Linked DNA regions of Schizosaccharomyces pombe. The protein of the gene in region 2 interacts with the protein of the main gene of each other region in a biochemical or structural test. Each region holds a gene or a part of one and is shown on either strand. Other genes may lie near its edges. The genes, in order: smc5 and nse2.

Evidence for each region.
Region 1: the proteins of nse2 (region 2) and smc5 form a complex in vitro, tested with the Schizosaccharomyces pombe proteins (2 studies listed by BioGRID).

The regions. Positions count from the first base shown.
Region 1 is NC_003424.3:5,225,449-5,231,696, forward strand, and holds smc5 (Smc5-6 complex SMC P-loop ATPase subunit Smc5), read right to left. Parts: upstream 4,346-6,248; 5' UTR 4,306-4,345; coding exon 4,253-4,305; intron 4,185-4,252; coding exon 4,019-4,184; intron 3,970-4,018; coding exon 958-3,969; 3' UTR 731-957; downstream 1-730. Other genes in the region: mitophagy receptor Atg43, read right to left, coding at 1-523; DASH complex subunit Dad3, read left to right, coding at 4,378-4,455, 4,493-4,675; mek1 (meiosis-specific serine/threonine protein kinase), read left to right, coding at 5,692-5,848, 5,889-6,248. UniProt on the Schizosaccharomyces pombe protein: Acts in a DNA repair pathway for removal of UV-induced DNA damage that is distinct from classical nucleotide excision repair and in repair of ionizing radiation damage.
Region 2 is NC_003424.3:3,088,678-3,092,728, forward strand, and holds nse2 (Smc5-6 complex non-SMC SUMO ligase subunit Nse2), read right to left. Parts: upstream 2,052-4,051; 5' UTR 2,021-2,051; coding exon 1,856-2,020; exon of another isoform or gene 1,609-1,855; coding exon 1,486-1,608; exon of another isoform or gene 1,371-1,485; coding exon 906-1,370; 3' UTR 817-905; downstream 1-816. Other genes in the region: DASH complex subunit Dad1, read right to left, coding at 376-648; taz1 (telomere length regulator), read right to left, coding at 2,560-4,051.

The DNA.
Region 1 (6,248 bases), 2.1 Mb from region 2:
ACTGTTGGAATCGCAAGTCCGGTATTGGGGGAGCTGTAGGAACAGTATATTCGACAGCTTCACTGTGATCCGTACCAGAGCTACTAGGAGATATCACTGTTTTTCCCTCGAATATAGTGGGAAGCTCTGCCTCTTCGACGGCAGATTCTGAATCCTCAGTTTCCCAATTACTGCTATCATCTTCTTCTTTACTCTGGAGCAAACTAAGAGAACTTGTTGAGCTCTCTACAGCACCAAGTTCATACTTGTTATGCAACGTTGAGTTCTCAGGAATACTTTCGTTCACGTCTATCTTCTTTAGTTGATTATTGATAATTATAGTGGATGAACTCAAATGTTCCATTCGCAGTGGAGAAGACGCGTATCCTGAATCTCCATGAGCACTTCGAATGCCTGATCTTTGCAAAGCGTCTTGACTGGAGCCTAAGCTGATCAATTCGTAATCTTCTTCCCACGAACTAACGTCGCTGGTTTTGTTAGAATCAGAGCGGGGAATTGGTATTCCTTTGCTTTCAGAAGACATTAATAAAGCTTCTCTAAAATCAATGTCTAATGAACAGAAATGGGTAAGCACAAGAATGATCCCAATTCTTTGTTGTTTACGTTAATATGGATTCCCGATAGCGCCACATCTACGGTGTTGCGCGATAATTGTATTACACAAAACTACGTTAAGGGCACATGTATCTTTTGAATAAGTTAAGCAATAAAGATATAACATTTTAAATGTCAGGATGCTGAAAGCAATAATTAAAGATAATGATATTATTAATTTATTAAATCTAACGGTCAAATTTTCGGTGACTCTAAGGAACGAAATGACTAACGGGTAACTTCGTATGCAAAATTTTAAAACTCATAAAATAAATTCTTTAGTAAACAAAACACCATCGGACAAAACAAATATCAAAAATTAAGAAAAAGTATGCCAACAAGACAAATATGGTAATGTAGCATTTATGACGAAGAAATGAGTGCGGACTTCTTTAACTTTTCAAAATAGGTAGAAAGGGATGTTCTAAAAGTTGCTGGTAACCAAGCACCATTACAAATACATAGCACTTTCAAATTTCGATGGTATGTCAAATCTGGTAATAACTTTGGAGTGACTAAGAAGTATTGTGAAACAGCGTTGTCACACACTGAATTGACGATATGCCTATGCACAACTCGTTCATTTCGAGGATCCATTCCTTGATTTATTTCATCAACTATTCGAAACGGAGCAATTGCCAAACCTTGTAAAGATAATAAATACATTATAGTAGATACAGAACGTTCTCCACCAGATTGTCGTTGACCCGTAAGTTTTTGAAGTCCTTCTTCCTCTCGAAATTGTACTAAAATATCGATATACCATTTATCATAATCGTCGGATTTCCCTAGTCGAACTTCTCCAGCATATCCCATTCCACTCATTCCTTTAGAAAATCTATCGCTAATACATTGAACATTCTCCTCTAACTTACTAACCCAATCCTCTTTGATTGAGTTCATCTCGTCTTGGAGCTCTTCAACGGATTGATCAAAGTCTGACATTTTCGATTCTAGTTCCTCAATTTCTTTTTTACGCGCATCATATTGTTCCATAACGTAACTATTAACATTCATAAACTTCAGTTTCGTTTCTTCGATGCTAATTTTGTTATCCACTTCCGAACTAGTAGCAAATTCTTCATTTAATTCAGTTATTGCCGTTTGTCTGTCAGATGATTGTGTCTGCAATGAATCAACCACTGAACCGTACAAGGACATAGCATCCTCCCTTGCTGAGGCTAACTTATCGGTAATATCTTTAAGACGATCTTGTACTTCTGTCAATCGAGCGTTGACTTGGTTGGCATCCATCTCGTGTTTTTCAAGTTTGTATTTCGCTTCTATGACATTAAGTCTACTTCCCAACATCTTCTCGAAATTATTCGTAGCTTTAATTGAATTCTCCTTAACTTTTAACACCGAATTCATAAGAGCTTCGAAGTTCTCTTTCCTGATATCTTCATTTTTTTCAATTTCAGCTGCAAATTGCTCAGGAACTTTCTCTCTTTGTCTTAGTAGAAGAGTTTGGTGTTCTATTCTTTCTTGTAATTGTTGCCATTCGTGAATAGGAATTAATTTTTCGTCACGCTCTTTTCGTAGAGTAGATAATATATCGTTTGTACGAGAAAGCAGCGATTCGTGCTCATTTACCTTTTCTTGTAACTTTCTTTCCTCATTCTGTAAATTTTCCAATTGAGAGAGTTGAGCATTTAGTTGCTCCTCCTTTCGCTTTACCAAATCCATCTCAACGTTCTCGGAAAAATATATACTGCGAGAAGGTAATGGGTCTGTTCGCCTAGTAATTTCTCTATCACCGTAAGCTGAACGAAAAACCAAGTGGATAGATGAGCCCGCCAAGTAAGTTTTAAGAACTGGATCCCCGTTAGCCAGACGAAAATTGTTTAACGCATTCACTGATGCGGGAGGTAGTTCCCTTTTTGCAATCGGAATTTGATGAATTTTTAACATATGGCACAAAGCAACCAAAACCACTTCTGGCCCCTCTAAAAAATCGATCACATATCCGTCAAACCCGAAAGACTGAAGCTTCTCACGAGAGCATGGAGGTTCAAAATCTTCTATCTTCTTTTTTCGTTCACTGGAGAATTCTCTTATAGTAGGAGTGTACTTAGTTTTTGAAGTGATAAGATCCATTAACTTTAGATAATCATTATAATTTGACATTATAAATGTTCGAAACGTATCCGTGCGAAAAAACCCTTCTATCAAAGCTGCAAACCCTTTTTCCTTACATTTCAAATTCATATAAATTGGGCCGTATGCGGGTGCTTCAAACGCAGATTCGTATTCCTTCAATAACTGATACGTCTGATAAGCATCTTCCCAGCCTGGAGCAGAAGACATAAAGTCTAGTTTCCTTTTCGTAGCATCGTTGTAGTAGGACAACTCTCTTTTAATGTTATCAAGGTCAATAAGCTTTTGTGCTTTCAATGTTCTGATACTACCTAGTTCATGAGAGCTCTCAAGTTTCTCGTTTTCATGTTGAAGTTTTTCCGCATTAACTTCTTGCATCTTTTCTTGTAGATCTTGAACACCGTTATCCGAAGGTCTTGGGCCTTGTCTTTCTGTTAATGACTTCACCGATTGTTGTGCTTCATTTAATGTAAGATTTGCATTCCGTAAAAGTGTTCGATTGGTATTAACCTTCTCATAAAGCTTTTTCTCGTTCTCCATGAAATTCGAAAAAGAAGCTCTGGCTCTTAAATTTGAGGTATTAAGTTCCATCGAAGCGGAGGAGTAATCGTTAAATGTATCATCTTTTAGTTTTAAATCCGAACGCAGCTCTTCACCTTTATCCAAAATAGGTTGAAATTCTTCCACTAGGTCTTTCAAATCCTTTTTTAATTTTTTTTTGTCTGCACGAAGTTGGTTAAAGACATTGGTTTTCTCTCTGTATATAACTAACATTTTAGCTAACCCTAGCATTTCGATGTATGATTTGATTTTTTCCCGTTCTTTAAATATATTGACTTCCTTCTCTAGTGCCTGTTGTCTATCTTTTAATGAATTTAATGTTGATTGTCCTTGGTTTTTATTTTGTAAAATTTCCCTTTCTCGTTTTCGTAAATCAATAAGCTTCTCATGTGCGGGAAGTAACCCTTCATGGTCAATTGCACGCTCAGTTTCCATCAGTCTAGAATAAGGATCAAGCTGAGCGAATTCTGCAACACGGTCTTGTGGTAAAAAATGACAAAGATTATTCAATTGTACATTGAAAGTATCCATTAGAGACGTTATTGAAGAAGTGGCACATGCTTCCCTATTAATAGAGAAAGAACTACTCTTATCCTGGCTTATTTGTCTCGTGATAGTAACCGTTTCATCGTCACGATACTTCATTTCAATTTCTATGGTTGCAGTGTTTTTGCCATACTTTATAAATTCACGGGCCTCTTTAGCTCTCCCAAGTAGCTAAATCGTTAATCAATTAAGTTATTTTTTATAATATTGAAAGACTTACTTTTGGGGGCCATCCCAGCCCAATGCATATTGCTGAAACAATTGTGCTCTTACCTGTCCCATTTGGACCGATAATCAAATTTAGATATGGACCAGGGAACAGTTCACAATAATCGTATGTAACAAAGTTCACTAATTTAATTCGTACAATACTTCCTAACGCGTAACTCTCGCGTGTTAAGATCATCGAAGTATAAAAAGCAGAAATACTAAATAGAAAAAAGCTATAACTTACTCTGAATACAAAGGATTACTTTTTCTTCGTTTCGAAGGCCTAAGGCCATCCATGGTGGAAGTAAGGAGGATTTCAGTCAACTAGGAGTTTGCTGAGAGCAAAGTGCTTATGCAAGGCAAGGTACAATGAGTTTAGAGGAAAAAAGAGCTCTCCAGAATCAAATTTTAGCTGAATATGCTAATCTTGCATCAAATTTAGAAACAGTAAGTCTTTTTTATTCAGCAGTTGGTTAATATTTAGCTTGTTAAGGTGTTACAGGACATGGTTTATAATCCCAGCAACAATATTCTGGACTCGCTAAGGGATTTAGAAAAGGAGGTTGGACTTGTATATACTCTTTACAAAGCTAGTGTTTGGGCGATTTTGGCAGACCTAGAAAATAACCAAGAAGGTAAAAGCGGCATGTTTCAAGATGAAAGTTGATAACGTGCTTGTTTGAAATTGAAAATACGTCAAACCGAACTATAAATTAAGCTTTAACTCTACTGTTGGTGCTTTTCGTGTGGTTTACTATGAATATTTGGAACTGAATATTTACCGGATAATTTTTCAATCACTTTTACAGAGAAAAAAATACATCCTACTTGGAAGAGTAAAAACAGGCACAAGATATAAGCTTATGAAGGTTTTTAAAAAGCACTTTTCGGCTAAAATGTCCAAGAAACGAATATGGGTATTGTTTTTAAAAAGTTGGTTAGATCACTTTTAATCAATTATCCAAAACAACCCTTTGGAAGTAGTCCGGCCTTAAATATTTCTAAACTATTACCCCGGAAACACTGACCTAATGAATCTTCCGATTAATTGCCTGTTAACATTTTATTAGATCATGCTGGATTCGAAAGTGTTTTCAAGCTTTCCTAAAAGCGTTATGAAAATGGGGTTGCATGAGAATCTGCAATGTTGTAAGCTGTTGATTTCTTAATCAAATAATAAGTTTCCTTCCTTGTTTTTTTCTAACCGTAATGGTTATTCATACTCAAATTTCTTCGTTATGAAGAGCAACTTACAATTGGGACTCGTTTTTGTCCTCGGATCATTAAAGTGAATACAGCGAGAAATTTTCTTCTGCTTGCATTTGACTAAAAATCATTTAAATGCCAGCAACTCTCTTCGAGATTGAAATCCAAAGTTTCTTCTGTTTGTACTAATATGGATTCTCATAATTTACTATATTTGATAAGCAATGAGGTTCATATTTTATTAATATACTTAATAGTGTCAAGCCCAATCCTTCAAAATATTGGCAAGTGTATGTTTTGGCATTACCAAATGACTTTGGTTTATAGTGGTATAACGTAATAATAATGGGTATTGTCTTTATACCGTTATAGACACTGCTTTTACGTTTTGATAGGCGCGTCTTACAAAGTATATATATATTTATTGCTTACGCGCATCACCGTTTTGCAAAGTGTATATAAAAAAAAGCAAGAACTATGGACTTTTTATCACATGCCATGCTTAGTCGATCTGAATCAACGCAAATTCTTTGTGAATTGAGTCAAATAGACGAAAGTACTATGGATCCTCAATATACTGAAGATGATGTTCTCGCTCGATTGTTTGTTTTTTCATCATCTTCTCCACAAACAGGTGTGTTCTCTTGTTTCAATTGATTTTTGACATATATTAGTACTGAATGTTAAGAAATATGAAGACGTTTCTGTTGGAAGGAGTAATACATGCAATTATCAGCTTCTGCAATTCACTGCCAGTTATAAGCACTTTAGAGTGTATTCGGTGCTAATCGATGATGATATGGATCCCCTTGTTTATTGTGAAGATCAGAGCTCTAATGGAACATTCTTAAATCATCGTTTAATTGGTAAAGGCAATAGCGTCCTTTTATCGGATGGAGATATACTCGATGTTCGGCACTGCGCTTCCTTTCTTTTCCAGCAGAAATACACTACTGATAATGATTTTCATCACGAGTATGCGGGTGAGAGATTTAACATCACTCAAAGACTATTGGGAATTGGTGGCTTCTCGC
Region 2 (4,051 bases):
TAAAAGGATTCGTATAGTAGTAAAGAAAAAGTTTACTATGCAAATATTAACATCAACAGTTGTTCTGCCTCTCAGACGATGAACGGCTTATTTAAAAATTGGCAGCTTTTAGAAGAATATAGGAAGATTAAAAACTAATATATATATACAAACACATTATTAATGAAGTGACTTAAGGTTTGTGTATTGTAATATGTAAGTTAATTTAAAAGAATCCTGACCTTTGACCAATTTTTGAGGACGCTATTAAATTTATAGATTCATAAAAAACATATAATAACTAATAATTTAATTTAATATGCAAATTCTTTGAAACAAACTGCGTTAAGGCATATGTTTAGCGGCAATGAAAATACATTTAGAAAAGAACGACCATCAAGGTGCATCTAGCATTTCACGATCTTTCTTCTGTAACACTGAATTTTGAAACTCCTTCCAAAGAGACGCGACATTTTCAAATTCCTTTCCAACACCGTTAATGCTTTCAAGATTTTTATTTAGAGCTGACATAAGATTCACAACTTCATTCATACTTTTTGAAATTTGTAAGGTCAAAAGACGACGCCTTCTTTCAAAATCTATATCATCAAAATCTTTATTTTGCTCATTTTGTATGTTTTCAGTAATATCCATATTTTCTGAGGACATGGTATGTTAATGGCTAGTGTCAAAGTCAAGCATGAGCCAAAGTTTATCATAAGGTTACAATCAAGTAGATCTTATATTAGATTTAACTATCTTCATAATTAAATGCCAAAATTGAAGCTTCCGTACGAGCATAGAATATTAGTCAAAAGAGACATGTTATGCATATTTACAAGTTGGAATAAACAAATACATTAAATATAATAATAATAATAATAATAATAAATCCGGATCAGTACTACAATGTAAATAGAAAAGGACTAAGCTTCTTTTAAATTACTTATTTCCTGAGCGCGGCGTAATCTGCGTTCAAGAATCTCATCTTCCTTAAGTAAAGACCTTTGTAAACGAGCTTCACATCCTACAACAGGGCATACACAAGTTGGATTTAACAGAGACAAAATAGCATCTTTTTCATAAAAATGATTACAGGCTGTCGATAATATTGGGTGAACAATTGGTTGTAAAGTTAAAGGGCATCTGTTATCAAAGGTAGCTGAATATACCATCACTTCATCTGCTTCCTGTTCTTCAGTGTTCATGACATTAAAAAATGTTTTCATAGAAGGAAAGTCAGAACCGTCTGTATTTTGCTCATGCCATATGGTTTTTTTAAATTCAATGTATTCTCCTTGTGTGCCATATTTACCATAGTCGGATTTTTCTTCGTATTCTTGAATGAGTTCCTTAAAAATTTGTGTATAAATATCCAACAAACTTTTATTCTAATTTTGTTAGAACAATTGAATATGAAACAGTAAAAAAATACGTCTAAATTGATGTTTTTACTTCATCTACATATAATAGAAAAAGTAGGAAAGTCATTTCCGTGGTACGTACTTCAAAATCACTTATATTTTCACTGGTTTTGTTAGCCAATGTATCCACCGATTGCTGCATCAATAACAATCTCTGCTTTGCATCCAACAGCTCTCGGATCCCGCTATCAAGCATGTCCAAACACTAAAAGGCAAGTGTTAGTCAGAAGTCATAAAGTAAGCAGCATGTCATATTATGTCTATTTTAGGCTCTCTCTCAATAGCCGGAAATAAGAGGAAGAAAAATATTAGTTAAACAATGTTTTTGTATGTATATTTGTACAGCGAACTTCTTTTTAAAAAACTGTATCTCGACATAACACCACTTTCGAGTTTTAAAAGCAATTCATATTAATTTTTTCCATTATCTTTCGTAATAATGGTACACATACCTCATTATTTTTTATCTCAGCAGCAACTAGAGCACATTTTATCACCTGTTTAATTGAATCGTCAATTTCCTTCAATTGGAAGTCGAAACTGCAATGATTTTGGTTTCCAGGTAATAAATTTTGACTTAAAGCCTCCAAGGAAGTTTTTAATTGTGCTTCACTCATTTACGATTCCATTCGAGAAAGAAGTAGTTACGACGTTTAATTAGTAGACAACGCAATTTGGGATTGAAAACCTATTAATTGCATATGAAAACTAAATGCCACAACACTTATTTCCTTAAATAAAAAAAGAATGTTTTTTAAGCAAGGGTAATAACCACGTTTTAAAATTTAAACTCCAGTACGTTTTTATGAAGATTGATGGCATATGTATAAAGACTAAATAAATTCTTATTTACTGTCACGTTTAATACAAATGAATGGGTTATGAAATATTCTCATTTGGAATTAGAATTTATAATGCATACTTCGGACAATTAACGCTTGACTTTTAGTACCTCTATTACTAAACCAACTATTCAATATGATAAACCAATAAAGGATGATTAAGGCCGTGAAATGTATAAATTAAATTATGTTATTTTCAAAATATTCCATAGATTAGTAGTAAAGTAAAACACGATTAACAAAACTATCCGAGTCTTGTCAATATTATTCATTAAAAAAGCAATCATGAACAAACTCTATCCGGAGACGAAAAATTAAGATTGATAATTAACAAGCTCTTCCCGTAAAAGTGGCGGAGTTGCCTCTATGTAAGGTATTTTATGAAGTTCACAATAGGCCTGGCCCACAGTAACATTTTTCCAATTTAATGACTTTGAATATAATTCTTGAAGACGATTCTGCTTCATAAACCTTGCTTTGATAAGTCTGGCCTTGTCTTTTATCTGTGTTGGTCCAAAAGTTTTTAACGGACCATTTTCAAGTTTCTGTATGTGAATGATTTTAGACCAACAACAGCCATGCTGAGAAATCATTTCGTAAAGCTCATTCTCCTCTTCATCTGTCCATTTTCTACGAGTTCGATATCCTTCATATGGGTTTCCTTGCGACCTGCGTGTACCCGAACGAGCAGCAGATCTTTCAATGGACACTCTCATTGCCGAACTTCTACCACCAGATCGAGATTCTTGCTCGTCTGATTCACGTACAGGCGGAAAATCTTCACTTAAATCATCCTGTTCACTACTCAAAGAAGCTTCTCTTCTCAGATTATCACCCCTCTTCGCAATCAGCTTACTGCGGTTTGCAGCTTCCTTTTGAGAAAGGGACTTAGCTCTGCTTTTTAGAGACTTTGATAGGGTATGGGAGAAATCTCTGGCTTGAGAAACCGTTTCTGATAAATTATCAGCACTCAATAAGCCAGTGATTTTATCAAGAGCAGATGAAACTAAACCTAAGGATACCACTTCTGATATTTCCGTATTATCTATTGAGTTCAAACCTAGGGTTCTTTCAGAAAAAGTATCCTCGGACGCGTCACTCTCATGACCACTGGCTTCGTCTGCTGACTGTGCGGTCGAACCAGAAACTCGCTCACGAAGCCTGTTTAAGATCTGTTGGCTATCAGAGTCGTACAGCATCCCTTTCACGCTAAGGTCCTTTCTTTCTAAGCGACGGACGTTTTTAAATTCTAGTAAAAAATGTATGACTGCATTGACAAACGCTGGAAACGAGGCCCGTAGCTGTAGAGGAGAATTAGAAGTATTACCAATCGTAGATTTTAGAAAGTCACAAATCTTTTGGCTTTTCCATACTTGCCCACAAACTACGTTTAAGGCATCTAAAGATGTATAAGGAAGACATGACAAAATAAATTCACTTGCGTCAATAGAAGGATTTGAATCGGTACCAAAGTATCTAATCACCAATTCCTCAAATAGAACCAAGGCATCTCCATAAAAAGAGTCTTCTTCATCAGCAGATAAAAGTGCGTCTAGTACTATAGATCTCAAAGTAAGGTGTTTGTTGGTATTATCTAGGAGATCAATCAAGCCTGTAAAAAATTGAATAGATTTTAAAGGTTTTTCCAAGTCTTCAAATAAACACCAATAAGCATCATATTTTCGTATATAGGAGAAAAATATAGTGCGAAACTCCAGTCCATATTTGGTAGTGAGTTGTTCGTTAAATTCATAAAGATCTTTTACAGTTTCCTTCCCTAGACGTTCTGAGAAGCTCTCAGGGTTA